Arabidopsis thaliana: one gene and its partners. The protein of the gene in region 4 purifies or fractionates together with the protein of the main gene of each other region. This does not show direct contact. Each region holds a gene or a part of one and is shown on either strand. Other genes may lie near its edges.

What was found.
Region 1: the proteins of GAUT7 (region 4) and HAP6 purify together in Arabidopsis thaliana (affinity purification with mass spectrometry, with the first as the bait; one study listed by BioGRID). This does not show direct contact.
Region 2: the proteins of GAUT7 (region 4) and NDB4 purify together in Arabidopsis thaliana (affinity purification with mass spectrometry, with the first as the bait; one study listed by BioGRID). This does not show direct contact.
Region 3: the proteins of GAUT7 (region 4) and AT4G18030 purify together in Arabidopsis thaliana (affinity purification with mass spectrometry, with the first as the bait; one study listed by BioGRID). This does not show direct contact.

Annotation. Positions count from the first base shown.
Region 1 is NC_003075.7:11,275,996-11,285,125, forward strand, and holds HAP6 (ribophorin II (RPN2) family protein), read left to right. Parts: upstream 1-2,433; 5' UTR 2,434-2,543; intron 2,544-2,635; exon of another isoform or gene 2,636-2,648; 5' UTR 2,649-2,650; coding exon 2,651-2,796; intron 2,797-2,931; coding exon 2,932-3,124; intron 3,125-3,203; coding exon 3,204-3,293; intron 3,294-3,533; coding exon 3,534-3,596; intron 3,597-3,804; coding exon 3,805-3,874; intron 3,875-4,024; coding exon 4,025-4,089; intron 4,090-4,425; coding exon 4,426-4,480; intron 4,481-4,603; coding exon 4,604-4,725; intron 4,726-4,808; coding exon 4,809-4,924; intron 4,925-5,308; coding exon 5,309-5,378; intron 5,379-5,626; coding exon 5,627-5,731; intron 5,732-5,832; coding exon 5,833-5,922; intron 5,923-6,004; coding exon 6,005-6,153; intron 6,154-6,336; coding exon 6,337-6,448; intron 6,449-6,530; coding exon 6,531-6,614; intron 6,615-6,736; coding exon 6,737-6,817; intron 6,818-6,905; coding exon 6,906-7,130; intron 7,131-7,214; coding exon 7,215-7,337; and 4 more. Other genes in the region: EMB2271 (Transducin/WD40 repeat-like superfamily protein), read left to right, coding at 68-133, 214-291; AT4G21140 (copper ion-binding protein), read right to left, coding at 1,496-2,227; ZAC (Calcium-dependent ARF-type GTPase activating protein family), read left to right, coding at 8,699-8,738, 8,824-8,905, 9,060-9,130.
Region 2 is NC_003071.7:8,951,701-8,958,112, forward strand, and holds NDB4 (NAD(P)H dehydrogenase B4), read right to left. Parts: upstream 4,132-6,412; 5' UTR 4,000-4,131; coding exon 3,911-3,999; intron 3,549-3,910; coding exon 2,805-3,548; intron 2,728-2,804; coding exon 2,508-2,727; intron 2,418-2,507; coding exon 2,313-2,417; intron 2,217-2,312; coding exon 1,956-2,216; intron 1,882-1,955; coding exon 1,552-1,881; 3' UTR 1,357-1,551; downstream 1-1,356. Other genes in the region: AT2G20790 (clathrin adaptor complexes medium subunit family protein), read right to left, coding at 1-159, 251-571, 645-773, 846-913; AT2G20805 (DNA-binding storekeeper protein transcriptional regulator-like protein), read left to right, coding at 4,639-5,037; GAUT10 (galacturonosyltransferase 10), read left to right, coding at 6,227-6,379. UniProt on the Arabidopsis thaliana protein: Alternative NADH-ubiquinone oxidoreductase which catalyzes the oxidation of mitochondrial NADH does not translocate protons across the inner mitochondrial membrane. NAD(P)H dehydrogenase; more efficient on NADH.
Region 3 is NC_003075.7:10,010,980-10,018,106, forward strand, and holds AT4G18030 (S-adenosyl-L-methionine-dependent methyltransferases superfamily protein), read right to left. Parts: upstream 5,061-7,127; 5' UTR 4,583-5,060; intron 4,305-4,582; 5' UTR 4,289-4,304; coding exon 3,641-4,288; intron 3,561-3,640; coding exon 3,350-3,560; intron 3,265-3,349; coding exon 2,592-3,264; intron 2,506-2,591; coding exon 2,428-2,505; intron 2,127-2,427; coding exon 1,871-2,126; 3' UTR 1,848-1,870; intron 1,707-1,847; 3' UTR 1,382-1,706; downstream 1-1,381. Other genes in the region: EIF4E (eukaryotic translation initiation factor 4E), read right to left, coding at 5,745-5,795, 5,885-5,950, 6,044-6,169, 6,265-6,430, 6,874-7,127.
Region 4 is NC_003071.7:16,160,582-16,168,351, forward strand, and holds GAUT7 (galacturonosyltransferase 7), read right to left. Parts: upstream 5,296-7,770; 5' UTR 4,943-5,295; coding exon 4,792-4,942; intron 4,700-4,791; coding exon 4,671-4,699; intron 4,591-4,670; coding exon 4,549-4,590; intron 4,459-4,548; coding exon 4,399-4,458; intron 3,639-4,398; coding exon 3,572-3,638; intron 3,473-3,571; coding exon 3,426-3,472; intron 3,332-3,425; coding exon 3,030-3,331; intron 2,610-3,029; coding exon 2,258-2,609; intron 2,163-2,257; coding exon 1,632-2,162; coding exon of another isoform or gene 1,605-1,631; exon of another isoform or gene 1,554-1,604; coding exon 1,275-1,553; 3' UTR 874-1,274; downstream 1-873. Other genes in the region: AT2G38646 (uncharacterized protein), read left to right, coding at 1-228; AT2G38660 (Amino acid dehydrogenase family protein), read left to right, coding at 5,811-5,982, 6,080-6,396, 6,753-6,989, 7,088-7,255, 7,449-7,613. UniProt on the Arabidopsis thaliana protein: May be involved in pectin biosynthesis.

The DNA of each region.
Region 1 (9,130 bases), on a different chromosome or scaffold from region 4:
TCGGCTCTTATTGCTATTTGTGTGTTGCATCTGTTACTGACATCCAATGCTTATGACCTTTTTGCAGCCTGGGTTTGTGAACTCTTTAGCTTTTGCAAAATCTGGTCGGTTTCTGATCGCTGGTGTTGGACAGGTACACATTTTCCTTTAACCAGACATATATATTCGTCTCTGTGAATGCCAATCTTAACTGTAACTTTGGGTATATGGCAGGAACCGCGGCTCGGAAGATGGGGTTGCTTAAAATCTGCGCAGAACGGTGTTGCAATACATCCCTTAAGGCTTTCATGAAGGGATCTCAATTTAGATTGCAACTTATTTTAGAACTTCAGTTATGTAGAGGTACTACAGCTATATTTTTGACATGGAAGGGAAGAAAGAGAACATATAGAGGCTCTAATTAAACAAAATCGGAAAGTCCCATTCCTGCTTTATGCTTAAAAGTCTTGTTTTATTGATCAAACAACATATACAATCTGATCTTTACGCATAGAGGAACTTTGTTTTAGTGGTATTCAAAAGATCCTAAAGAATACTAGAATTGATAAAAATTTGTGGTTTAAGAACTCAGATACACAAACTTGATTATTTTACCAGAGATTTGGACTCAATAGGTCTACAAAAATAGCTAGTGAACTAAGGAAACATAGAAGCCAAGAGGTCCCTAGATGAAGTCTAATGACTACGATTCTCTCTAGACTAGCTACCTCAGCTTTCAAACTATGATGATCCTTGGAGAATCGTGGTCTTTGTAGCTTTAGGACTCTTGCCATTGCACTCTACTGGACCGGGTAACAAGATGCAGAAAATGATATGGAGAGCTTGAAGAAAATACCCAGAAACTATGCATTTGAATGAAGAAGCACAAGCAGATGCAGGACATCCTTTCCTACATAACATTCTGCTGAACTTCCAACACAAAGCTCACAGAGGACAAACCTCAACTCCCATATTGATTAAACAGTTGTAATCTTGGTGCAGAACTGTAGATTCCAAGATAGTCTGCAGTTCTTATCTAGGAATATGGTTTTGGTAAGGATAAAAAGTTATACCAAGTTTGAGCTGATCATGACCCAGTGGCCTTCCTAAAGGTTAGAATATATGAAGAGACAAATCCTAAATGTATGAGTGTACAGTGTTCATACACATAATACTGAAAAATGAAGATTTGAAAGAAGTATGCAAACAGGCAAACACGATCAAGGAAAGAGATACAAAAGAGGTTTAACAAGATTCCATTTACATCCTAGACAACTTCACCTCTCAGAAGGCCGATATGAAACAATATAAAGTAGAAAAAGATTAAACTTTCAAGCTTCAACTAATATTCTATCATATAGTAGCAACTGCCAGTGACCATTTTATTTCAAGTAGATCACAAAAATAAAGACAAATGTCTCAAAGTTATATCCATTGATCGAAATCCAATCAACACAACTAATAAAACAAGAGAAAACCAATGACGCAAAGACAAATTCCTCTAACCTTAACAAGATCATCTCAACTTCTCTTTACCAGAGCTCTTCCTAGCCGCAGCATTCATAATCCTCTCCAAATACCCTTCAATAGGTGGAGTAAGCGTAGCCGTACCTCGACTCACCGGAAACGGAGTCAAATCACGCACTAAAGCCGCCTTCTTCAAATTCTCCGGCAATGCCTCAACCGCAGCGTTCCTCATCTTCATCAAACTAATCTCCGCTACACGTCTCGCTCTATGCTCTCTCATAAGCACTCTACTATACTCTTTCGCAAGTCTAATCCCATCCTCCACTGTAACCTTATACTTTGGTAACTCATCTTCCGTAAAAATCCCTAACGAAATGTAATCCAATCCTGGAGTCCCAATCCTCATCGGCGCAGTAGTAACTCCCATCGTAAAGGATCCACCTTTCTTCTGAAAATCAATCTCTTTTTGCCTCGCTTTACTGATTAGCCCTAGCTTCTCTCGTCTCGCTTCTCGCTCTCTTTCCTTAGGTCTCAGGTAACGAACAGGACAAGGAGCGTTTATGCATTGATCTGAGATTCTTCCTTTTCCCTTATCCACCTCATCACCACCTCTGCCACCGCCGTTTCCACCGCCTTTTTTGATTGTGAGTTTGTTGCGTTTCAATGATTGGCCTGTCTTCAGCTTCGATTTTCCTTTGGGGGTTCCACTAGCGTAACATTTCTGGAGAAGATTGTAACTCACTGAGTCAATTATAGGTTTTGGTCTCGCGAATCTGATCATTTTCAGATTCTGATTTCCTCAGAGCTCTCTCTGTTTGAAATGAAAATGGTGATTGAAGTTGATCTGCAAGGTTTAGGGTTTCAAGGTACGCCGTCGTTTCATGAAGTGTAATTTAAGTTCAAATCGAGGGTAAATCGGTAATATCAGGTAGTGTCATCAAACTCACACTCATTTTTTAGCCTTCTCTCTGGTTCGTCGTCTGGTTCAAAAGCTATAGATCGATCCTAGGCTTACCTCAAACCTCAGTCTCCGTTGACTACTGAGACTCGTCGACCTCTGATCCGCTTCTTCGACTATACGGATCTACTTCCGATCTGTAAGAAGCTTAAATCTTCGGTTGATTTTGGAATCCATCCGTCGTAGATGTGTAATTGTATTGATTTGGATGAGTTTATCTGTTTTTTTGAGTTTTCTTATGCAGTGATGATGGCCGGAGGTAACGTACGGTTTCTGGTTTTGATACTCGCCGTAGCAATTTGCGGTGCTGCTTCTGTTTTCCAGCCGATCTCAGACTCTCACCGATCTGCGGCTCTGGATGTCTTCGTACCAGTCGATGGATCATACAAAAGGTTGGTTTCTCTATCTTAAGTCGGCATTGCTTTGATGTAGGGGTTTTAACCACATTTCACCGATTACATATTGGTTGCTCGTTAATGTTCATGAATGGTTTTTGTACGGACTAATCTGATTTTTATTACTATCAGCTTGGAGGAGGCATATGAAGCATTAAAGACTTTGGAGATTCTTGGAATTGATAAAAAGTCTGATCTTAGCTCAAAGACTTGTGAGAATGTGGTTAAAGTTCTTCAGTCGTCTTCTTCTACTCTTAAGGATGCATTTTATGCGTTAAACGTTAATGGGATTCTAAAATGTAAAATTGGTGAAGCTGGTCCTAAGGTAAACAATTGTCTCCTCTCAGTATCATAATTTTAACTATTAAGCGGCTAAAATAACCTTATCTTTTCCTCTTTTGAAGGACATTGTTTCTCAACTTCAAGCTGGTGTTAAAGATGCGAAGCTATTGCTTGATTTCTATTATTCTGTCAGAGGCTTGGTGCTGGCTAAGGTAAATACGAGTTAAAACTTTTGGTGGACATCTTGAGTGAGATTGACTACACCCTTTTTCCATAGAGTATTTCTAGGAGAGTTTTCTTAGTTTTTCGTGCATTATGTTGAAGTATGAAAATGTTTTGGCAGAAGGTACCTGTGATCGTGATTATTTTATTTTATTCAACTCCATAGCTTTGGCTTCCTGACTTTTCTTTTTCCTGGCTTCAAGTTTGACCTCACTGTTCCATGAATGCAGGAGCAATTTCCTGGAACTCATATAAGTCTTGGAGATGCCGAAGCCATTTTCCGTTCCATCAAGGTTTGAACTTGTTTAGCTGACCTTCAATTTTGTTGTTGTTGAACTATCAGATGTGACATTCATACACTGTCTTTTTGGACTATCAATTATAGACTCTGGTAGAAGTATATATATATTTTCGATATGTTACCAAAACTCAGTTACTATATTAATACTACTTAGATTGTTTTCCGGGTATTATTTGGCTGATATAGTGCATTTGTATCAGTCTCTTAGCCAGAGTGATGGAAGATGGCGCTACAGCTCCAACAATCCCGAATCAAGCACTTTTGCTGCTGGTTAGTAGTACATATTGGATTAACCCTTACCTAACGTTAATGATGAGCCTTTTAGATTATGTATCCCTTCCTTTCTTGCTTCAGCTTGTTCACTTCTTTTGCTCTTTGTTATTTCACTCATTCTTCTCAACATGCGATTTTTTTTCTCAGGCTTAGCCTATGAAACGCTTGCTGGAGTGATTTCATTAGCACCTTCAGAGTTTGATCCATCTTTGGTAAGTGAGATGTTTAATCCACTATACTTCTGATTTCCTGAGAATATATTTTGATGAGATATCACTACGATATGTTGGTTTAGTGATGATCTACTTTTGCTTCTGGAATCTCTAAGTAACTAAAATAAAGAGTTTTGTTTTGATAATTATAAATTCCAAATCTTAGCTACAGGGAATTGTGATTTGATAATCACAAAGAAAGATTCGTGTTTTGATAATTATGCATGTCCACCTGACTTCTCATTTGGTTATTCTGGTGGTTTCTTTTTCATTTTATCTGGTAGTTTATTAATCTTGGTTATGTAATGATCGTCATTCATGTTTGTCCTCTGTTAGATCCAGTCGGTGAAGACGGGTATCCTGAAGCTTTCTGACAGTATCCAAAAATATGGTATGCAGTAAATTACTTGCTATCCTATGTATTGCATGTTATATTCTCTTCACTCACTTCATAGTTTTTGCCAGCTTGGGTTTTGCATATGTGGGCTTTGAATTATTATTTTTGGTCTTTTAGATGATGGGACATTTTATTTTGATGAGAAGTCTGTTGATGCAAGTCAAGGCCCGATCTCAACAACTGCATCAGTTATTAGAGGGCTCACGTCATTTGCAGCTTCAGAATCCACAGGATTGAACGTATGTAATACCCATGTTTTCATGTATCCTATTCTGACAAATGTGTTGATAGTTGACCTTCGCATTCCCATTATCTCATGCAGCTTCCAGGTGATAAGATAGTTGGTCTGGCCAAATTCTTTCTGGGTGTTGGAATTCCTGGTGATGCCAAGGACTTCTTCAACCAAATAGATGCACTAGCTTGTTTGGAAGACAACAAGTAATACTACTTTCATGCCCCTTTGTGCATTTTCTTTGTGCATTTTCTTATTAGTTTATTTCAGTACACATCTTAGAATCATTTCAGTAACCTTGAATTGAGTGGTGTGAAAGACATAAGAGTTACAAGGACTTACTGTTACTTCCATTCTTTTGTGTTAAAGTAAAGTTGCTTATGAAAGAGAAAAACTGTTTCTCTTTACATTGTTAGAATTTTGAACAAAATGATTACCGAAGAAATGATATCTGTAGGGAAAGAGTAGAAGTTTAAAACTTTGAACACTTGTGAAATTTCAACCACTTGCTCATTTATTATGGTCTAGCTGAAACTTTATCATTCTATGGGAACAATAATTTGCTCTATGGTCATTCTCTATCATTTCAGGTTTTCTGTTCCACTCATCTTGTCTCTTCCATCCACTGTCATTTCATTGACAAAGAAAGAGCCTCTGAAGGTACCCATTCATAAGCTTGCATCAAGATTTGACTTCTAGTAGTGAAAGTCTTAACTTTGGACTTTCTGGCTATAACGGTTGGATGTTGGATTCTAGCTGGTATTTGGTTTAGAGATTGCTCAGGCTCATAGCATTGCATCTTTTTTGTAGAGATCTCTTATCTATTTGATAATGACTCATTTTAGTTGACCCTTCATCCATTACATTTTTTCTTATTTTAGATTTTTTTTCTCTTTATCTGGAACTAGGTTAAAGTTAGCACTGTACTGGGTTCGAAGGCACCAGCTCTTAGTGTGAAGCTTACACAAGCTCTAAGTTCTAAGTCAGTGGATTCATCTGTAATTAATAACCAGGTAAATAATGTATCTCTTACTGTTTGAGCTTGCAATAGAAATGTTCCTTATTCTCTGCATTAGGCCGGTTTACATTTTTCCATTACATTTTTGGGGTACAGGAGCTTAAGTTTGACGCTGACAGTGCAACGTACTTCCTGGACTCCTTTCCCAAGAACTTTGACATTGGAAAATATACTTTTGTATTTAAGGTATTGCACTTCTTTGGTTTTACTACACCCAAGACTTCATATAAATGTATGATGACAACATGATAAGCTTCGTTTTCTGCAGATTGTGCTGGATGAATCAGCACATGAGAAAGTATACATAACTGAAGCTCAAACAAAAGTGCCTATAGCTGCCACAGGAGCTATTAGCATTGAAAATGCAGAAATTGCTGTACTTGACAGTGACATTGGAAGCGTTGAATCTCAGAAAAAGTATGTCACCTGTATTGTTGATGAACAACTTCCTTTTTTGCTTATTTTGATTGATTGCTAATTGCTTAACCATTTTTCTTAGGAAACTTGTACCATTATTGCTTACAATATATATTTCAAACTTTTTGTTGTTGTGCTTAGTGTCTTCTTTTTGTTTATTGGTTCTCTCTGTAACATTTGTAGGCTAGATTTAACTAAAGATGGAGCGGTATCATTATCAGCAAACCACCTTCAAAAGCTACGCCTGTCATTCCAGTTAACTACTCCACTTGGCAATGCGTTTAAGCCACACCAGGTTTGTTCATTCTTGATTTTTCGCTTCATCAATGGTTATATTCTGTTCTATTCACTTTCTTGACTTGCTTACTTCCATGCAGGCATTTTTCAAGCTGAAACATGAGTCACAGGTCGAGCATATCTTTCTCGTGAAAACTTCTGGAAAGAAGTCTGAATTAGTTCTAGTTAAGTTCCTTCAACTTCATTTAAAATTGCTTTTGCAAAAAAAGTTTAATGATCAAGTTTGGTGAAATTAATGACGTCCTAAATACAATATTAATGGTTAATGTTATTTTCTTACCTTCAGGATTTTCTTGGATTGGTTGAGAAGCTCTACTACCTCTCTGGTAAATATGAGATACAGCTAACCATTGGAGATGCTTCTATGGTAAGTACTTTACTTTCAGGTCCAATGCAGTTGATGATTTATGTCTTCTGAGATTTGAACAGTGTTATTTTCCTTTCTCTTTTCCCAGGAGAACTCTTTACTGAGTAATATTGGTCACATTGAACTAGACCTACCAGAGCGTCCAGAGAAGGCGACTCGTCCTCCTCTACAGTCTACTGAGCCTTACTCAAGATATGGGCCAAAAGCTGAAATATCACACATATTCAGGATTCCTGAAAAGCTTCCAGCAAAGCAGCTCTCACTAGTTTTCTTGGGTGTTATCGTTCTCCCATTCATCGGTTTCCTGATTGGGGTCAGTCTCCCTTTGCTTGTAAATAGTATCCGAAAAACATCATCACATTTCTTTCACTACTCATATATATTTTTTATGTTTCAGCTTACGCGGTTGGGAGTGAACATAAAGAGCTTCCCATCGTCGACTGGATCTGCAATATCCGCTTTACTTTTCCACTGCGGAATTGGAGCTGTTTTGCTTCTATATGTGCTATTCTGGTTGAAGGCAAGTTTTCATAACCGATTATTGTTTGTTTGATCTACAGTTGAATCATTGCATCAAATCACAATTTCTTTGTTTTGTTTGTTTGCATTCTACAGTTGAATCATTGCATCAAATCACAATTTCTTTGTTTTGTTTGTTTGCATTCTACAGTTGGATCTATTCACGACTCTCAAGGCACTTTCTTTGTTGGGAGTGTTTCTGTTGTTCGTGGGACACAGAACACTATCTCAACTTGCATCAGCATCAAACAAGTTGAAATCTGCTTGAAGAAGAAGAACTCACTATGAAGGATCTTTTTTTGGTTTATGCGTATTTTCAGTTTTGTAGTATTGCTTATAGATTATGGTGATAGACAAATTCAAAAGAAGTTCAGAGTTTACATACTCTCTCAGTTTAGTCTTAAAAAGTAATCAAGAGTCTCTTTCCTTAGCTTTTTTGTTGAACCAAATCAACTAAGATAATGATTAGCTCATGATTAGATCACATGAGTTTCTTAATTATTCACACTTTATGAGTGTTTGTGGAAAGTTAAAAGGTCTAACAAAATTTTGAAATAGGCTGGCCATAAAATCGAAATGAAATTTTATATATAAAATCAAACCGAATTTCATTCTAGTCAAAATAGAAATAAATGCTGATAAAAATGTAGAAATTACTTTGGGTAGAAACGAGTCAACGAAGGAAATGTATTTGGTATTTGACCCTTAACATGGCAATGGCAACGTTACAACTTTTTTTTTTTTTTTTTTTTCTTGCATCGTTACAACTTCACAAAACTTTACAGTTGATTGGAAAATTAAATTTTAGAAGAAAAAGCACGTAGTTGTCTTTTCAGACAATTATTTGTTCATCTTGAATTTGTGTCCCAAGAACATATCTCTCTCTCTCTCTCTCCTCACCTTGGTAAGAACGTCCAATCCAATCTATAAATCTCCTTGATGGAATTTCCGTACATATTACTTGTTCCTTTCTGATCTCTTCTTCATCGGTTTTATGTTTCATCGAGTTTGAATATTTCTTTGTAAGTCTTTTCCTGTCGGTTATGTTTTCGTCGTTGAAATGGTTTCAGGAATTAACAAAGATCAGATTTTTGGCCTTTTTTTCTCTTCTAAATTTGAATTTCGATTTTGGGAACACGAATCGATGATGCTGATGATCTACAAATGGGTATTGAAAACGATTTGTTCATGGTTATTCTGCGGTCGTGGTTTCCCCAAAAAAGTTTGGTTTTTAAATTTGCAAAGCAGAGTTTGATCTCTCATTTAACAATACCATGTTCTAACCATATTGTGCGTGATGGGTGATTTCTTTGGTCTGTGAAGGATTCTCTGTTTGATGATTGCTAGTTCTTTAGAAGAGCAATGAGTTATTCTGGAGCCGGACTCGGAAAGCCTGGCTCAGGTAAACCATTTATCTTAGCAAAGATTAGTCTTTGTATGAGAGATATATAGGCTGTGACTGATTTATCCACCTTGTTGGTTCACAGGTAAAAGGAGAATAAGGGATCTTTTAACTCAATCTGATAACCGAGTCTGCGCTGATTGTGGCGCTCCAGATCCTAAGTGGGCGTAAGTTTTGCCATTTTTATGTTTTGTTCCAGTAAGCATTTTATGCTTCTCTAAGCAGTTTGATTGAATGTTATGATCTTGTTTCCCTACTTGTGCATTTTTTGGTTTGTTTCGTTTTTCGTAAACCCATAAAACTCTTGGTTGCTTATTACAGGTCAGCTAATATTGGAGTGTTTATATGCTTAAAATGTTGTGGTGTCCACAGAAGCCTTGGCAGTCATATCT
Region 2 (6,412 bases), 7.2 Mb from region 4:
ACAGGTGCAGCTACAGGTTTAGCCCTCGATGAGATACCAATGCTTCCAGTTAGTGAATCAAACAACCCCCCAACTGATGGTGACACACTTACAACAACCTCAGGTTCCACTGTATCACCAGAAATGATGTCACCAAATGCATGAGCCACCATAAAAGCCCTACAACATGAGTGACAAGACAAGTGCATCCATCAAGGAGTTGAACATCACTCTTAAATCAAAAGCATTGCCCTTAAGGAGCTATAAGTACCCTGTAATGGATGAAATGTTAAGCAAGAGAGATGATAAACTCAAATCTTCACCAACAGCTGGTCCACAATCAGATCTCCTACAAAGCTTGACGTAATCCTTCATCTCCTTTGGCTCAACCAAAGGCAAGACGAGGATAGAGTAAAGCGCTTTGGTATGCAGAGCAATAGGCCAGAGAATGTTCCTTTCATCATCATCATCATCATCTTCTTCGGTTAAGCAAAGGCTGATAATATGACGAGTGATGGGATCATCAACCCAAGAATCCGATCCTTTGGTGGATTGAGCAACACGTATACCATATCCACGAGTAGAGCCTTCCCTAATTCGGATTCGAAATTCAATTTTACATTTCCAGAAAATCTAATTAAGCTAAACAAGAGAAAGTGTTGTACCGTCTCTTTCTTCGAGTAAAAGAATCGGAGATTTGTTGATCAGTGGGAAGTCTAGGAAGATCTAATCCAGTGTTTTCGTTCTCCGTCTTGTAAGCGGAGCACCATTGCTTCTCGACGACCGGAAACCTCCTGATTTTGCATACAAATTAAGAGTAGAAATTGGAATGAGTGAGATTTGGGTTTATAGAAGAAATTTGAAACCTGGAGAAAACAACAGTGTCTTGATTGTTGATGATCCAGAGAGCTCTGATACTGCAACCAGAGGGCATAATTGTACGGCTGCTGATGAAATCCCCAGTGATGAATCTGGCTAAGCTAAGGGACGAAGGCACATACGTAGTTGAATTGATGTATACGGCGGTTCCGATCACAGAGCCGTTCTGGTTGGTTTTGGGACGATGACGAAGAAGAAGACTCCGACGGAGTATCTAAACGATGATGGGCCGAATGTTTGGGTCTTCTTAAAAGTTTAATGGGCCATATGTTTTACGACTGAGAAAAGGTCCAAGAGTCCCCAAATCTAATGGCCTGGATTCCACCAACGGTCAAATCCTTCAACCCTACTTTTCAAATTGCTTCTTCTAGGGGTTTTGGTGAATCGCTCTGACTTGAGCTTAAATTTACCATAGAAATCCTTTTAAGGCTTATCGATCGAAGAAGTTGAGATCGAAGATGTAGCGATCGAGGGGAGAGGAAGAGTCATGTATGAGAAGGGAACTCTTTGTTATGAATTAAATTAGAAATATGCTTGTCCTTGTTCAAGAATCAAAAGTTCATGTGATTGAGAAAATATAGGAATGACATGTATAGTCATCATCATCTGATTTTAAAAGACAACAAACTAGCGGGAAGATTTAAAGGAAACCGTAGAAAAAAGGAGAACAAAAAAATGATGGAGAAGAATGGCTTAGATGCTGCTAGAGTCACGGCCAAAGACAAAGCGTCGAGTCCAATCAGAGATGACGAGCATCCTTGTGCGCCAGCTCACCAGTTTGCTGGCGTAGACAGAGTACCAAAGCCACTGGCTGCTGTGTCCAATGGAGACCCAATCTCCTGGCAGTTCAGCTGCTGTCTGTTCCCCTCCCAGTGGAGCAAACGATCCAAAATGTCTGTACCTGAATGGCTGGAACCGATGTCGACCCTCTCCTCTGAACCTCAATGGTCCCTCTGGCTTCTTCTCACATTTCTCCATTTTGTTGAAGCACTTTGCAAGGTACTTCCCTTGTTGTGATGCAACCTGTATAAGAATCAAAACATCAAAATCTGTGTGGTGGATTGATTTCATCTTGTTTTGATCTATAACAAGCTTACCTGTGCAGTTGCTGGAAGGTTCTTCATCTGTGAATCAACCTCAGAGAGAGCTTGCTTAAACTTTTCGATATTCACTTGTGTGTCCTCACCATTTGCACTCTTGAGCAAGTTTGCAATGTTCTTCAGCTTATTCTTCTTCAAGTAGAGCTCCACCTGAGGGTACCTCTGGCAAATGTCTTTAACCACACTATTGAAATCTTTCTTCTTCAAAGTTCCTGTGTTTCCCTTGTCTGCTTTGTTGAAAATCGCAGCTATATCTTCCTGTTTGTTCAACAACATCAAGACAAAACAGAAGGTTAAAGATTCATTCATCAACTGAGATGTGACACAAAGGAACAATGTCAAGAGAGATGATACCATGACTCTGCGTTGGTTGATCGTTGCAGTGTCACCTAAAGCATAGACACCGTCACATCCCTCTACTCTAAGCCATTCGTCGGTAGCCAAGACACGTCTCTGTCCCTGTAACCATACTCAATCTAGTTAGGTGGGACACTAGCAAATGATTTGGTTAGTCAAATGATTTCTTCATGTGATCAAGTGTAATCTAACCTGACCAATCTGCTGCATAAAGTCTTTGATGACAGGACGTGAACCAATTCCTGTTGACCACACAACCATACCATAAGGTTCGGAGACAATCTTGCCAGTTTCTCTTTCCTTTGTGGATATCTCATCAGCAGTCACTCCCACAACCATTGAACCTGTCTTCAGATCAATACCATCTCGCTGGAACTTTTCCTCAGCAAAAGCAGTGATTCTCTTGTCAAACCTGAAGTAGAATTGAACCAACATTGGAAAAGCAGTAGATTTAGCCAAAGTTAATGAAGCTTGATGGGTGGAACTTACATGTTGAGAATGTGGTCGCCTGCTTCAAGAAGAGTGATTTTTGTGAACTCTTGGACCTTTGGGTAAATCTTAGCCACATCCTGGACTAGGAAATCATGAAGCTCTGCAGAGAACTCGACTCCAGTTGGTCCTCCACCAACCACAACGAAATGCAGAATCTTTTTCCTCTCTTCTTCAGTTAGATTCGGAAGAGAGGCTCTCTCGAAACAGTCGATGACTGAATGACGAATGTTTAGAGCATCCTCTGCTTCTTTGAGGAAATAGGCATGTTCCTCAACTCCAGGGGTGTTGAATGTGTTAGGCTTAGCACCAACAGCTAAGATGAGAATGTCATAATCCATGTCAAACTCTGTTGTGCCCTTAAGACTTGACCCTTCCTTGGACCGGCAGTGGATTTTCTTGTTCGATGCATCAATCTTGACACACTCTGCTTCTTTGTACTCAAATCCTTTCTTGCGCATAAGACCACGAATGGGTTCAACAATGCTACGGGCTTCGACAGTACCATTGGTGACACTTGGCAAGAGAGGAGTGAAGAGGAAAAAGTTACGAGGAGAGACAACTTGAACATCATAGTTAGGGTTGTTCAAGTAACTCAAGAAGCTGTAGCCGCTCCATCCACTGCCAAGAACGACCACCTTCTTCTTCCTTATTGGGTTGCCATCTGAGTCAAGAGTAGCGTCTGCGTGTAATATACGTTTCAATGGATTCGAGTCTGAATACACCAGTACACCACCACCACCACTGGACAACAATACATAAAAAGACACAAACCAAAATAATTGTTAGACCCACGTTACTTAAAAAAAACATAGATCTGAGTCGAAAAAGGTATGAAGCTTATAGAGATGGTATGCATTATATCATGCATCACAGCTAGGGAAGAGGCCAAAAGAGGACAAGCGAAAAATTCGGACACGTGCATAGGAGTGGTCAAAAACATCACAAGACTAAAAATACTAAGAAAACAGTCAAAGCATCTATAAAGAGAATTGGAAACAAAAGAGTTATATAGATTCTACAGCTAAAAGAAGAATAAGAAGAAGAAGAAGAAGAAGAAGAAGTGTAGAATGGTGAAGGAGATCTAAAGGAGAATAAGGAGAGACCTGAAAGTGCTGAGAAGAAGAATCTTGGAAGTAGAAGGGTAAGCCTTGAATAAGCTAGAAGCTCTCTGGTAAAAGCTATGGAAACTCATGTTGATGATTTCTCAAACCTCAGATCCAAAAGAAAACAAAGCTGAGAGCTTTGGAAGAGAGGCTGCGAATGTGAAAGAATATGCAATATGGAAACTATCAAAGCTACTTTAGGGTACGTGAGAGAGAGGTCGGCGACACACAAAACAAAATTTAAAGAAAAAAGAAAAAAAGAAAAGACAGTGAGGTATTTAGGAAATTGGAGTAACGCCCAAGTAAATTTAGGTATATTCTTTTTTTTTTTTTTTTAAAGTAAATAAACAGCAGATTTGTTTAGGGTTTGACTTTCTCTCAAAACTCGAGACTTTAAGCGACATTATGTTCCGCGTTCCCTGGAGATTTTTTATTATTATATATATTTGGAATTCGAACAACTGTTGGATTCGATTTTGATTTTCATTTCTGATTTTATTTGGAATACTGTATATGATAAAGCTAATAAGAAGAATGGAATAAATACCTCATTCACTTCTATACATGCATGTTACAATTCATAAAATTCATAACTAAACTTTTTATGTTATATATGCATGAAGACTATGAGATTGTGCCTTTACAAACTCTTATCGATTACAAAAACGATATTGAGGTAAGTGCTTTTGAAGATATTAATAGTTTTTAACAAGAAAACTATTAGTTTGATGTCTTTAATTAAGGTTCAATTTATGAAAATGCTTGCGAGTTTAAAGAGAAAGTATGAGAACAATCTTGTGAAAGCCAAGAATGGTGATGAACATATCAGACTTCATGATCTCAGGGCTTTTCAATTGTCTAAGTTTGTTTGGGGAGATATTGAAGAATCACCTGTGAAATCGAAGAAAGTTATGTCTATGAACCTTGAGCTTGGTAAAAACAAAGATACTTTTCCCAATTCTTCTCTTGTTAGATCACTAGAGCGTTTTGGTGTTGATGAACTTACTCCTCAACAAGGATTGAGTAGCCTTGACTTAGAGGATAAGAAGATATTCGAGGAGCAGTTGGAAAGCTTTGCAGGTTATAGAATTCGAGTTCTATTCGCGAAAAAGTGGTTTTCTTCATGAAGTGTTAGCAAAGATGATTGAAGCACTTCGATCAAAAACTTAAGAGTTTTAAGTCTCGAAAAAGCTTCTTACTTATGAAAATAAAATTTGATGATTGTGATTACGAAGCAAATGTCAAAAATAGTACAAAATAGCTCCAAGATTAAGCATGAATAAAAGAGCTATTATGTTAAACACTAAAAAAGGAAAAAATATTACATTTAATATGTTCCAGGGTAGGTCTGGGCGTAATATCCGAATCCGTAGAACCGAACTGAACCCGACCTGAAATATCCAAACTTGTTATACTTCGGTTTCGGCTAATTACCCGATCATATTCTGTTTTCAAATAAATGTGGGTATCGGGTATTATCCGAACCGAACCCGATACATGTGAGTACTTTTTATTATTTGAACATATATATACATATGAGGACATATATGCACTAATAACTTGAATTTGTGACTTGTTTAATGATTTGAGTTATGGAACGAGCTCAAAACAAGGTTTACTTCTTGTTTTATATTATTTTCTTAAGGAAAAATTTGTTATAATTTTAGATCTTTGGGGTTTTATGGATATTTTAATATATGTTTGGGTATAATTGGACAATGTTTGGGTAAGTAATACTCAAACCCAAAATAATTTTGGTTATGTATGGGTTTTTAACCAATACCCGAATTACTTGTATTAGAAGTGAACCCAAACCGAACCCAATTCAAAATTGTACGTATAACCCAACATATCCAAAATTTCTAAATATGGAAAGAAAAAAAATCCAAAATTTCTAAACCCGAAAAACTCCAATCCGAAAAATTTGATCCGAACCTGACCTGAATACCGACATGCCCAGAGCTACTCCAAAGTGGGGAAAATTGGCTCGGATTAGTGTGGATGAAGTTTTTGGCTTTGTTATGTAGTTTTTTGGCTTGAAGACCAAAATTTATATAGTTCCAAAGTCCAAACTAGCTTAGAGAAATTGAAAGCCAAAAGAGGGTAGATATGTCTTTTAACACTCTCTTACAAAAAAAAATAGTTACTTGATTCTCAAAGAAGGGTGAATTCGAGGTTTTTTGCAGCGAAGAGAAAGAAGATGGTCGGTTGAGCTATTTTTGCTTCTCCCGACAAAATTCTCAGATCCGAATACTTCCACCATCATCATTCATTTATAAGATCTGGGTTTTACACAGCTCTGCGAGTACAGTAACTATGAGAAGGAGAGGAGGGGATAGTTTCCGGAGAGCTGGACGGAGGAAGATCTCGAATGTGGTATGGTGGGTTCTCTCTGGTATTGCCCTCCTGCTCTTCTTTCTCATTCTCTCCAAAGCTGGTCATATTGAACCTAGACCCTCTATTCCTAAGGTATATTCAATCTCAAAGATCTCTTCTTTTGTT
Region 3 (7,127 bases), on a different chromosome or scaffold from region 4:
AGTTAGGATTATCAAAACTCGACGGAATCTTGTTATTCTTGTAAGGCAATGTATCTCAAGGTGGTTGACGATATGTCATCAGTTAACTTTCCGCCAGTTCTAGTGGTTTATCTTCGCCATGGAACTCATTATCTTTAAAATGATTTTTTTTTGTTTTTTTAATATCTGGAAGTTCAACTCCAAAAGTTCTACATTCCGAGGCGGAATTCACACCAAGTTAAATTCATCTTTTTTGGAGAAGAGATTTCTTCTAACGTGCCTTGAACCTACTACCTTCACCCGAGAAATTTACCACTAGGTCAATAGTTCGTTGGTTAGGATGTTTAGACTTCTTTATCTATTTTCTAGTAATAACTTTTTCTCTTATGGTTTCGTTATCTGGATGTTGTAGTTCCTAAAAATACATCAACCTGTGTATCTTTTATTATCCATGTAAGTTTAATAGTTTCCAATTTGCTTTCCTTACGGAAGAGTATGATCTTGCCTATAATTTAATGAAATTGAGCTTTGGCGAAATATCTCATTTTATTGTGATCGAGTGATTTGATGACTCATCTTGGAGATGAGGAATTATGATTCGAGTTATTCAACTATGATTTTGTTTAAAGTTGGTCCTTAATCCTTAACTCCTTATAGATGTTTAAAACATCAATATTCGGCACTCCAAAAATGCGAAAGATTAGTATTTTGCGAAATTCCTGTTATCAAAGAAAATAAAAATTCTTAAGCGAGTGTATTGATACGAGTCGGATTATTTAGGTTAAAAACAATAAGCCACTTTTTTTTGTCTGGGAAGGATAAGCCAAACAAAATGTGTATATGCATCCATCTTTGTACGAAAATGTTATAATTCAAACGAAAGTAGTATTGATGTAATAATTGAATGAAAAAAACAGTTTCCTTTATAGAGTCATCACTTATACGAAAGTAGTCTTAGTTGTATTTTTTACTATTTTTATTGGTCCTTTTATTCCATCTTTGCCCAAAAAGAAAAGAAGAATAATTTTTCTCTTTTTGTTTGTAGATAAAGGAGCCGATGTCACAACAACCCATAGTTTTTTATTCGACCGGAACTTAAAACTGTTGGGGATAAATTCATTATGTTTAATACTTATGTGCTATAAAGTTAGATTGTGTTTTTTTTTTATTAGAGATAGTTATATCAATATGTGTAAAATGTTATGATAATGTAAATATGTAATCTATAAATGTATGATGAGAGTCATGAGACAAAAGGTGACCCATGACAACTATAGCTTTCTTCCAAAACAGTAGTATCCATTTACGTACAATAGCGACCCACATATGAATCAATTTCCCTACAATAATGTCATCGAACTGTTATTGATATTTTCTACTAATTTTATGTTATTTAAAACTATCTAGAAGTTTCCGTTTATATCATAAATTTATTTAAAATAACTGTTATTAAAAAATGTCAAGATCGCATCATACATAACAAGCGTCCAAGGTTTCAACTATCTTGCAAAAACACATGGAACTAATTTTTTCTTCCTTCAAAAAAATAAAATTAAAAACTAGGGAACAAAAATAAAACATAAATGCACATATTCGTCTTGATCACTACTATATAGTTTTACAACTTTTTTTTGACACCTTTCTTTAATGGAAATTCTGATTCCTTCCTTTTTTGATAAGAATTTTCCAGATGTTGTAAAATAGATCTACACTTCAAGCTTAGTAACCTGAAAGAAAGAAAGAAAAAACAAACTCAATCATAAGAGTAACAAAGGAAAAAGAAGGAATTTGGGTTTAATTGATCTTAACAAAAGTTCGTAGTCAAATCTGGTAAAAAATGTAAAGTACAGGGACTGTAACTACAATACCTGAGGAGTTTTTTGTTTTTGTTTTATTCTTCTTCACTATTAGAAGACGACGGAGAATTGTTTCCATCGTCGCCGGCTACCCAATACTGCTTCGTGGCGACAAGAATCTTCTCCGGCACGAGAGGACCGTCTTCATGATCCATTAACTTAGTATCCCATCTCATTCCATCAACGATCTTCCTCACATCATTCAAAACATCAACCTCATCCCGGAAAATCACAATCCCTTCCGGTCGTAAAATCCGATCAGTTTCAAGAAGAATATCCTCAAGTTTGCAGCTGCCAACATGAAATTGACCCATTACTTAAACAACCCTAGTACAGAATTGAAAAATTCATCACTAGTTCTCAAAAAGTTTGTAGCTTTAGGGTTTAGATCAATGGTTGGTAATTCTCAGAAAGTTCATAGCTTTAAGGTTAAAACAAGTGTTTACTAATTCTCAGAAAGTTCATAGCTTTGGGTTTCACTTCAACGTTGCTAAGTCTCAGAAAGTTTGTAGCTTTAGGGCTAAATAAAGGGTTGCTTTGATTCTCAGAAAGTGTGGAGCTTTAAGGTTAAGTTAGGGTTTATAATCATTACCTGTGCTGATACAAGCTGAAGACACCACTAGCGTGAATGAAATCGTATGTTCTTGGATAAGTTGAAAAGCCTTCACACCTACAGAGATTTGAACAGTAGAGATTGTATGATTGTTGCCATTGATGGAAGGAAGATAAAGATTTGTGTGTGGATAGATGTTTTACCAGTCATGATAGATACCAATGAGACCTCTCTCATAAACAACACTCAATGTGTTCTTGTTAATGGTTGGAATCACATTCATAACCCACGATTTAGGCGATTCAAGCGCAGCAGCGAATCCACCAAGACCGGCGTTCATATCCATCACATTACGGTATCTGGTGGAACCTATCAGTCTGTTAATTCTCTTGTATCCGGTCACTCGCTTCTTCCATAGATTGATGTCTTCTTGGTATGATTCCTCGTCGACGCCATTAATCAAACCTTTAGAGATACTTGGAGGCACTGCGAATAGCCTCTCGGGGAACTTCTTTAGCTTTCCTCCAGCAACTTCTTCTTCGTTTGATACTTTAGGGAATGGTGTTACACACGTTTCTATCTCCTTGTACCAGACATCGTCAGTGTCCTTTCTTTTGCAGGTGTCAACCGGTGTTGATCTATCGCATGATCTATCGTTTATTTTCTTTCTGAAAATTGCAATGTCTCCCTTCTCATACTTCTTCTCCCAGCATAAGGACTCTGCGATTCCCTCTATTCTCTTTTGCTCGGCATTTAGCTCTGCTTTAGTTCGGTTCCACGTCTTGTGCCATGTCTTCCAGTTGATTGGAGGACCCGATAAGACCCAGTAACCTCCAGGTCTCAAGACTCTATCTACTTCCATTAAGTATGTTCCCTCTGTACAAGCAATCAAGAAGCAAAGACACCAATATGAGTACAAGCAAGAAATGGATTTTCGCCTAATTTGATAGTTAATATTTACCGTTTGCGGTCCATGGTATCAAGCATCGAGAGCATTGAGCCATGTCAAAGGCTCTTGCAGGGTAAGGAAGAAGGATTGATCCAAGAACAGCGATAATCGCTGGAACACCTCTCTCAAGCGCAAACTGGACTTGTGCTTCGTGGTTATCCCTTGGCGCAAACGACATAGTCAAAACATTCCTCTTAAGCATATAAGCACCCCAACTAGCAACCTAGAGATGGTAAATTAGCATCAATAAGAATCTAAGAAATGAATAAGATATGTTACTAGATCAAACAGAAATCGACTTACCCCACATCCAGTGTCCAATGCGGTTCTAACAGAGCCATCTTTGATAGGGATAACAGAAGCTAGCTCTTCAATATACGCATCAGCACCTTGAGGAAACATAGTTCCTCCACCAGGGAATTTAAACACATTCCCTTGAAACTGAACCCAATTCTGTCCAGCTTTTTCGACAGTCAAGCTCTTGAAAGGAGCATTAGCATAGTGAACATAATCTCTGCTTTTAGGCCAAGGGAAAGGAGTCATATACCCTTTAGGAGCTGGAACAAGACAACGCAGCTTCTCATTATCAGGAGGACAATGTCTCTCTCTGTAAATCATGTTCTCTCTCGGGAACTTCATAGCTCGGTCTTGCTCTTGACAAGGCGTGTAATCCTTGAGCTTCACATCACACGGTTTGAAAGAAACAGGTTTGGGATCAGCTTTATGTGGGATCTTCACTGTGTTGTGATGAGGTTCAAAATCAAGATCAGTGACAATGTCAGTACACTGCGCTTGCTTTGTAATCTCCATAGCTATGCTATCTCCTTTACCAAACCCACTCTTTTGCCATGCTCCAAGAAGATAGAAGAAACAACATAAACCAACCACAACGAGTAGAGATAGTGTACTTCTCGATCTGTTATTCCCTGGTGGGTTATGCTTAGAACCCATGATTCTTTCTAATCTCCTGAAACCATTCCCAACAAATCACAAACTTGATTCTCAGTATAACGACACAACTTTGAGCTTAAACATCAAGATCTGTTAAAAAAGGATCTAGCTAATTCAAACTAATCAAAACCTAGCCTTTAACAATTGAAATCTAGAGTTTATGGATTCAAAAGACTAATCCTAACATAGAAAGATTCAAAGACCGTAACTTTAGCACTGAAATCGAAAACACAGAATCGGATCTCGTTGAAACAGAGCTAGAACACGAACTAACAGTAGAGAAAAATATTGAACCTGGTCGATGTAGATCTTGTTGAAGCAGAGAGACTCTAAAATTTCTCTTATCAGATCTCTCTGGTTTAAGCTCTTTTCAGTGATGAGCTTGCAGTAGCCAGAAAGTATAAAGCTTTGTGAGTGTGACAGAGAGAGAACTCACTTAAAATAATGTCTTCTTCTTCTTTGTCTTCACTAATTAAGATTTGATTTTTAACTTGAAGATGAAGGCGCGTTTGATTTTATTCAATTTCTATAAACAAAACATGTTGGAATTAAATGTGTGTAGTTTCGCAGCAAGATCTTCATAACAATATTATTACAATACTCAATAGATTTAGATCTAATCTGGACTGCACATGCATCCTTATGTTTATTTTTATTCAACCTCTTTTGTGTGCGTTTATATATATAAACCTATACTTTATTATTTTGCATATTTGAAGCTTTTGGGTAGTTGATTGTAGCTATTTAAAATCAATTTCAGATTATGGTTTAGCATAATTGGAAAACCTTTTGTTTATATATTAAAAAAGATCAAATCCATATGCTATAAGATTGCATAATAATAGAAAGGAAAATTTTATTTGTTGAAACGAGTGATGTATTATTATTAGCCGAAGAATCTTGTCGTCCCAAGTGGTCCTTTTCAGACAGTTGGACAATTTACATACTCGCTACTTAGATCTCCTACCGACACTCCCATTTCCTCTAAACCGGTCACCGTCAAAAACCGAGTTAATCGGTTCACACTGCTAAATAATCATTCCATTAAAATAAATGCTGAGGTGGATCTTTAAAACCTAAATTAAAAGGTTAATTATAAAGGATGTAAATGTGACAATGTAAAAGTAGTTTTCTCTAAAACCGGTTAAAGTCAATCGCTCATGAGTGTACATGGGCTCTTGTCAAGTAAACATATACACTATTCAGGCTTTTAAGGCCCGCCTTGGGTAGACAGAAGCACTGTTTGTCTGTAAAGCTTGCGCTCACTCCGGTGGTTTTATACAAGGGCACCAACGTAAATATTATGAAGAACCATACTAATATATTACTAAATGAAATGTTAGAGCTTCGTGAACAATCAACACTAGCAAAGACAGACTGTCAAGTCATGTTTAGATAAATAGAGATCTCTCACATACAAAACTGTAATTGAAACAATGCAAAGATTTGAGAGGTTTCAAGCGGTGTAAGCGTTCTTTGCATTCCTGTCGAGCTTCTTCGCATCCTCCTGAAAAAAAAAGAAACCAAACCAAACAATGAGAGATCTGAAGAAAATGAAGACTTTTGAATTAGAATTATGAGAAGCTTTCTTCTTACATGGATGATGAAACCTATGCTGTTGTTGTAATCGAGAAACTCCTTCCATTGTTTTCCAATGCTCACCTGCAACATTTGATGCAGACGAGAATTAAAGTCTTATTTTTACACAGAGAGACTGTTTGATGAGTTTTGATGAGAAAGGTCTTTTCTATTTACCTGAGCAGCTTCGTTTGAAGCATTTTTAGTCCAAATAGATATCCTTTCTTGCTTTCCTCTAATGTTGACAACTGCTCCACATATTTCATCTCCATGATCAAACTGCTCTCCAATCAATGCAAGCAACTAAACCAAGCATGTAAAAAGAAAAACCGGTGAGATTCAATTGGATGATGACGCAGGAGTTACGAGTCAAAATAAAAGAAGAATAGAAACCGTACAGTGTAGAGCCAGCTCTTATCAGACTTCTCCTTAGGGAAAGTCATAGTCCATTTTCCTCCATTAGCACAAATAGGATCCTCCCACTTAGGTTCAATGATGTGTTTGAAACAGTAGAAGTCAGCTCCGTGAGCTAACTTGCTCGGATGCTTCATGTTGTTGTACAAACTGCAAACCAAAATGTCTTTTAAAATAAGAAGTCGAAAGAACAATACACAAACCTATGAATCTCATTGGGAAGAGCAAGAACTATACAACATCAACCCTCAGTCATCACGAAAGTGTTTGCTCAAATTCTGATACCTAGAAAACCACTAAGAAAGATTTCAAAGTTGGTCTCTTTCTCTCACAAACTTTGCTCTTCTACTTTACTTCACAAACAAGTGAACAGAATATCAAAGCTAAACCCTAACATAAGCTTTAGCTACGAATTCAAACACCAAACATAGCAATTCATCAAAAACATATAATGACTTCAATGGGATCTTCTAATCCCCCAATAAAGAACATAACTTTCCTCAACAAATCGAAACCTATAACAAAACCCAGATGCAGAATAATTGAACAAACCAGATATTGAGTCGGAAATAAAATAAAATCAAAAACCTAACCTCCAAAATTCCTCAACAGTTGAAAACGTAAACACGGGTCGCAAGGAACTTCCCCAAGAGGTTTGTTTCGATTTCACAGCAGGATTATCGAACCAGAAAGTCCATGAATGTTCCAGAGGATGCGATTCAGGAACACCGGATTTGCTCGATTCGTCAACGTTTCCGTCTCCTTCTCCTCCGGCGATCTCTCCTTCTTCGGCATCATCACCTTCCTCATGGTATCGATCAATCGGATTCTCTATTGAATTAGGCTT
Region 4 (7,770 bases):
ATATCCGAATATCGTATATTTCTCAAAACCAATCGATATTCTTTCTCTCATCTTCTTGTTAATTATATGTCTAACCATGATTGTGATTGGGATTTGTTTTGGTCTGTATCGTCATCATCCGACGACGATGAAAGTATGTTTGTATATGGTCATATGGACGTGTATGCGGTGGTTATAAAATGGTCAAGGTTAACTGTCTTTATCTCCCTCCTAATCCTTACCACTTAGTCAAGCTTTATGCTAAGATGGGACTTCATCGTTACAATTTTGCTTGAGGTCTCTTTCTTCTTTCTTTATACCACATGCATGCTCTTTACTTATATGTATTATCTCTATACGGATATAACATTATACCTACACTGCACTTTATTTACATAGTAATCAATGTCTTTCTTGATTTGTACGTTACCTCAATTAGGGGAAAAACTATCAGCTCAAAATTAAAGTACAAGGACTGTAAAGGTTGCGATGGATCCATTTACCTCTGTGCTTTAAACTATTGAGACCATAGTTGTCGACAAAGTTATTTGGTGCGTTTGGATTTGTGAAGTGTGGATTGGTTTTTGTGCAGCTTGTGTTTTTTTTATAACAATGTTTCTGCTTGAATCATTTAACATGTGCAAGGATGCGAAACTTTCTTTACTATTTAGTGTAGCTTCCTGCTGTAATGTTGCTACAGACACATTGTATGGTCAAAGTTTCTTTACTATTTACTATTTAGTTTCGCATGAGCAAGGATGCGAAACTTTAACCTACCGAGGAAAGGGCCTCCTCCGCTATTGCAACAGACACACTGTCTGAGAGAAATCCTTCATAAGACCTGATTGTTTTTGCTTTCTGAGAAGAAGCTTCAACACCATGGATAAATGTACTGTGCAAACTAGTTAATAAGAAATAGATTAAAAAAAATCTTATCGCCTTCTATTTTGGTACGTCACAAAAGTAAAGAATAACAAAGAAACTACATGACAAATTGGAAAAACAACGCGAGGAAAAGAATGGCACATCTCTTTGCCAAAAATCATATACAACATATCAAAGTTCTTTCACATCCTCTTTTTTTTTTTTTTAATCATATCAAAGCTTTTCAAATCACCATCATCACGTCTCTTATAATCAATTTGGTATGGCTTCTGCATGCTTCTTCCCCTTCAGCATTTCTCCTGCAATGCATTCGGGTTTATTTACCCAAAAAATTGAGATGTTGCACTCTAAATCTTTTCTTTGCGTGTGACCTTGCTTCTAAAAGCATTGGCCGTGTAGCTACTTACTCATCAAGGATTCACGTTACAGTCACTCAAGAACCGATCTTCCCGACTCAGATGCCTTCTCCAATAGTTTTTGTAATTTGGGATTCCCAGCTCAAGCCACGGCTTCATGTTCCCGTTATAGTGCAATATGGCTGCGTTTTTTATGGCTTGTGCATTGATGTAGTAGTCATAACCAAGCCCTGATAGAGCCCATTTGTCGTCAAGAGCATATACTTGGTCTTGAAATGTGAGCAAGCTTGCCTGCAATGCAATTGCTTCGCTCGACTCATCTCCACTACTCATCTGCTGCACATGAAAAAAGGAAGTCATTGCTCAGAATCACCCAATTATCTCTTACAAAAGGTTTTTCAGGAAACTGACCTCTTTATAATATTTTTGATAGGTTTCTGAAACACCCAATGCCCTCCATCTAGCAAGATCAACGACATTCAAACCAGACATCCAGAGACAAGCATTGGTATCAAAATTTCCTCTCTTGAGACTCCTTAGCTGACCCAATCTCACAGTGCACGACTTAACAGCGCCATTCACTTTCCCTTCCATATCAAGGTCCCAAAGGGGAGATAAGTCTCGCTGGACTACAACGTCATCATCCAGAATCACAACCTTCTCCAATTTGTCAAATAATTTGGGAAGAAGATAGTGAGATTGAGAGAAAAGGGATAAGTAGTGTGTTCTATTCTGTTGAGACGCCAAAAGGTCACCACTGGGGAAGGAAACACGGAACTCCGCAGACAAAGACAGTTTCATATCAGAATCGTCCAGCTCGAGTTTTTCAATGTTCAATACTTGAACAGTTGATTGTTTGCAAGGATTCCTAATAAACCATTGTTTCATTGCAAAGTAATTCTGCTCGTCTGTCAGTACATGGAAAACAAAGTTTTTACTGTCCTGAAACATCAATAACCAACCAAGAATTAGAAATCAGAGTTCTATGACTGCATGAAAAAAAATACTAAGTAAAGAAAACTGGATTTAAGACGCACCCTTGCATGTACAACCGTTGAGTTGATCACAACGGACGATGCTAGTATATTATCGGAGATGATAACAAAGTGAAGTAATGAGGGATCTGAAAATTTCTCACTAATGGGATCCTCAAGTGAATCTGACTTGAAATGTTCCACAGTTAGTCGCATTGACAAGCAATGAAGACTCTTAGGCATTGTCTGTACTGCAAGCTGGTAGAGGAACACACTCTGTTTCATGTGGAAACTAGCTTCATCCTCAGTCAAATCAAGGATCTGTCTCAATTTCTTGTCAACATTGTTACAGTCGACTGGAAAAGACTTTGCCTTTGCAATTACAGCTTCCATCTTCTGCAACTTTTTATCAACCCTGACACAACAGTGTTAAGAGATACCCAGTAAGTACGTTTAAAGAAATTAGCATAGGATTCTACACATCAAAGCTTCTCTTGAGAGAGAACAAACAACATCCATGGCGTCCTCCTATCATCTAGTACATTAGTTTACTAAATTATACATTGGTTTAAGATATTGAGACCGATAAGGCTTCAAAATAGTGATATTTCTGGATGTGCTGCCCACTGGATAGGTGAAGAGAGAATGTTATGATAAATATTTTCTATACCATAAACCATCTGAAAGCAAGTAAACCACTAGAAAACAGGATGTCCAGACAAACTGAAGGCAAACTAGGAGAGATTCATGTGACTAGAATCCAACAAAATCTTTTCCAGTAAGGAACTAACTTTCAGTACAAAAATGATTAAACCCAAACTGGTAGAGAACTTACTGTGGTGGAAGGTCAGCATCTTGAGAACTTTCACTAAGAATACGCTCAAACTCTTGGATATTCTGTTTCATATCCCGAGTCAACTTGCTTTGAGAAGGCATTTTAGCAATACTGGGATAGTATGCTCTAGCCACAAACAGCTGGTCCTTCATTTGCTTCACCTTGGCATCTTTCATTGGTTCCTTATTTTCCTCCCTCCAGAGGCAGTAGCTCCCATATTTCACTTCACAAGTTCTCCAAGTTTCATCACCACTTACTATTTTCCTCTGAACACCTGTATATGAGGCTTCCGATTTTGTTTTCTGTTCACAGAAGAAAGCAGAGTAAGGTTAACGTTAAATGATTGGTGAGAGATATAAAGATGTCTACTAAGGAAACCACTTAATATATTTGTACATTTGCAGGGCTTGGATTGGCAACAACAGTTGGGGACACTGGTAATCCTGCAGATTAATGGAGAGACCAGACGTAAAGTATCAGACCAGAATCAATATAAAATAATGGAAGAGGAATTTCAAGAAAGTGAAGCTTGTAAAGCAGACCTCTTTTTTTAGAATCAGTGCCGCTTGTTGCATTCACATCTCTGGAACCCACGTTTATGTCGCTTTTCTAGCATGTGATACAATAAAACAAAACATAAGTATAGAAATTGTTACAAACAGTTTAACCATCTCACCCAAGGAACTAATTCTTGACCTTGCCCAAGACAATTTGAGATACATTAAGCAACATAATTCATGAAAGTATTTCAACTTTCTAGTCTCATGAGATAGTCAAATATAAAAAAAATAAAGAGATCATTCATCTAATTTCTCTACCCTTTAAGCAACATCACACAAAATATACGGCAACTGATTAACTACAACCTTTTGACCTATAGTTTGTTTGTAGTGCCAGTAAAGTTTCCAGATTCACTGGCTAATATTAGCATTGGCATCTTGCATAGCTTTCCATGAAACGAAAAGGCATCTAAGTTTTTTCTAATGTTAGCATTGACATCTTGCAAGAATACTGTGGCAAACCTGATACAAAGCCTATACATTTACAAATAGCCCTATTATCTGTAATCAAACTACAAAGCCTATATATTTTACACCACTTGAAAGACAAGATGTGAAACATTAATGCCAATAATTATGACAGAAACATACTTCAATAGTTGAAAATTAAACATATATAGACCAGATCTGAAATGTGTGTGTCAATTAGAGAGCAGTGTGTAAGATAATGAAGTGCTTCCAACCACCATAAATGCTTTGACTCTATGGGTACATGAAAAGATCTAAAATTTCTGTCAAAAACTACTAATCTATAACATAAATGGAACAGGTCAAGGCCTTTAATCCACACTGAAACAAGTGGAACCAACCTTGGGAAGAACTGGATTGATTTTTTGAAGAACCTCATCGACCCGTTCGGATACATCTCTCTGCAAAACCAAAGAAAGAATATCAAAAGCAGCAAAAAGATTTTGGTATAAAAAATGAGAATCGAATCAATCAAAGGAGAGTGACATTACCTGTGTATGCTTAGTAGCATTGATTCTGGTAAAGCTCTCAAACTGATTCCAAAAGAAAGAAGATTCAGAACAAAATCAAAACACACCAAAACAAACACACAAAGAAACGAGAAATTGCTTACTGAAGAAGCCGGTTGAACAGTGACAAATCCTGAAAAAGTGAAAAAGATGAGATTAGATCTGAAACAGAGATCGGCAGAAAAAAAGCAAAGAGAGTGTTAGAGAGAGAATGATAAGAGATACCAGGAGAGTGAAAGCCATTGTGAAGACCGAGTAAGAAAGCAAGAGGAACAAGCATAGAAAGAATAACAAGAACCAAAACTCCAATCACCAGAACTTTCCACCGGCGTTTTCCTCCGCCACCACCTCCTCCACCACCGCCTCCGCCTTTCATATTCCCGATTTAGAATTGAATGAAATGTCTTTCCCAATTACGAACGCATTGGATCCCCAAAACGTTGCCAACGATCTCTCTATCAATGTCTCTCTCTGTTCTCGATACACTCAAATCATACTCTCGTCGAATTCTCTGTGTGTGTGTTGTGTTGCAGAATGCACAAGTATAAGTGTTTCTGCACTTAGCCCGATCGCATCGTCTCTTTCCCCTTTGCTTTTTGCTACTTGGAGGAAGAGAGAGAGAGATACACACACATACACACATACACACACACACACACACCTCTTTTTTTTTCACACGTGTGGCTATGTCTCCGCCGTTTATTATTTAACCCACTTGCAAGATCTATCTCCAGATCATAACACGTGTCTTTTCTCACACGGTGGTGAATTCTTTTTACTTTTTTTGTTAATCATCATCGTTTTATATTGTCACTCGTTGAATCCTAAACTCCGGTATGCCTAGCGATATTTTTCAACGCCATTGACGACGCTTTATATACCACTGGTAAATCTCTCCTCTGTTTTTTCCTATTTTCCGATTTCTTCTTTGTTAAGAATTCTATGTATGATGAATTTAGCTGAGTGAAGAAGATGAATTTTAGCTGAGTGAAAGCTTATGATAGTCTGGTGAAATCTTTAATCCATTTAGGTTCAATCTGGTGCAAGTTTGTTTTTACTGTATTATGCGCCTCTTTATTTGTTTGTGTGGATGTAATGAAGAGTATGGAGCTAAAAGGATCAAATTATGGTTTTATTCTAGCTTAGGCTGACCTGTCTAAGGTTCTCTTGTCTGGTCTGTACTTTTACATTGACTTTTTTCTTGTGCTTGATTTGAATCAGTGACTGTTCTTTTAGTTTTGAGTATGTTAATGATCGCGAGGAAAGCTTTGGCCTCGGCGCATACTAAGGCGTTTCGTTTGGCAACAAGGGATGTACATTGCTTTAGTTCCATCTTAGTGTCTCCTCCTCTCGTGTCACTTGACTTGCCTGAAAATTGGATTCCTTACTCTGATCCTCCACCTCCTGTTTCCTTTGGTAATACTCTTTGTTGCATTTTCATGGCTATATATATATGTTACAAGAAAATTCTCTAATTGTATGAGTTGATTTCTGTGTGTATGCATTTATACAGAGACTGAACAGAAGACTGTGGTGATAGATGGTAATGTTATCGCTGAGGAAATCAGAACAAAGATTATTAGTGAAGTGGGGAAGATGAAAAAGGCTGTTGGAAAAGTCCCTGGTCTTGCTGTTGTTTTGGTTGGTGAACAAAGAGACTCGCAAACTTATGTTCGCAACAAAATTAAAGCTTGTGAAGAAACTGGCATTAAATCTGTTTTGGCTGAATTACCAGAGGATTGTACTGAAGGACAGATTATCAGTGTATTGAGAAAATTCAATGAAGACACGTCTATTCACGGAATTCTTGTGCAACTTCCTTTACCCCAAGTATGTTTCTCATTTTTTTCTTTGGACGTTGTGATGGGGGATGTTAGTGTTGTTGATGTCAAAGATTAGTTCTATGTTAGGAGGTCAAGTAGTTACGTTTACTTTGTTTTCATACTTGTATGTAGAAATTCTTGATTCATATATTTTCATCGACCATGGACTCATGCATAACATTTTCCCCTTTAAGGTTTCCTTTTCGTTGGTAGGTAAAGCATTTAATTTACAGGTTATGCGATAGAGCATCTTACTTGTGGAGCTCTTTTTCAGGAGAACGTTCTTGTATTTTGTTGGTTTCCTTTCCTTTTTTTTTTTTTTTCTCATGAGTCCAATCATTTAATGGAAGATATCTTGTACAGCATCTTAATGAATCAAAAATCTTGAATATGGTGAGATTGGAGAAAGATGTTGATGGGTTTCATCCATTAAACGTGGGGAATCTTGCAATGAGAGGGAGGGAACCGCTGTTTGTATCTTGCACTCCTAAGGGCTGTGTGGAGTTGTTGATAAGAACGGGTGTTGAAATAGCAGGAAAAAATGCTGTGGTCATAGGCAGAAGCAACATCGTTGGACTACCAATGTCTTTATTATTGCAGGTATTAGTTCTTCTTTATAGTTCAAGTGGATTCTTATGCTTAAACATTTTGGTTTGGGAATTAACTATGCATTTATGTTTTCTGAAATTCTCGGATAGAGGCATGACGCGACAGTAAGCACGGTGCATGCGTTTACAAAGGATCCAGAGCACATTACTAGGAAGGCGGATATCGTTATAGCAGCAGCGGGTATACCTAATTTAGTTCGTGGAAGTTGGCTTAAGCCTGGAGCAGTTGTCATTGATGTTGGAACAACTCCAGTCGAGGTAAAAACGAAACTATTTTCCTTAACTGATCAAAAGTCTTAATACTTTCCAATGAAAAAAGACTTATACCATAGCTTGAATCCAATCTGATATAGAAAACGTTAAACTGAATTAGAGCTTGAAATGTTTTTCCTTCAGATTGTTTTCTTGTTTCTGATTAGACATTGAAGCATGACGTGTTATAATATTGCAGGATAGTAGCTGTGAGTTTGGTTACCGTCTTGTCGGGGATGTATGTTACGAGGAAGCGTTAGGTGTTGCCTCGGCTATCACTCCCGTACCGGGAGGAGTTGGACCTATGACGATCACCATGCTACTATGCAATACTTTGGAGGCTGCTAAGCGGATCTTCCTCTGAGTATGGTATCTCTGTCTATTACTAAATATATTTTGTAATGTTAGATAGGAGACTCCATGCTGTTCGAGTTATTAACGATCTCTTTTGAATTATTGTATAATAGACCTGGCGATTGTGATGCCATGGTTTATCCTAACTCATCAGCATCTTTAGCATC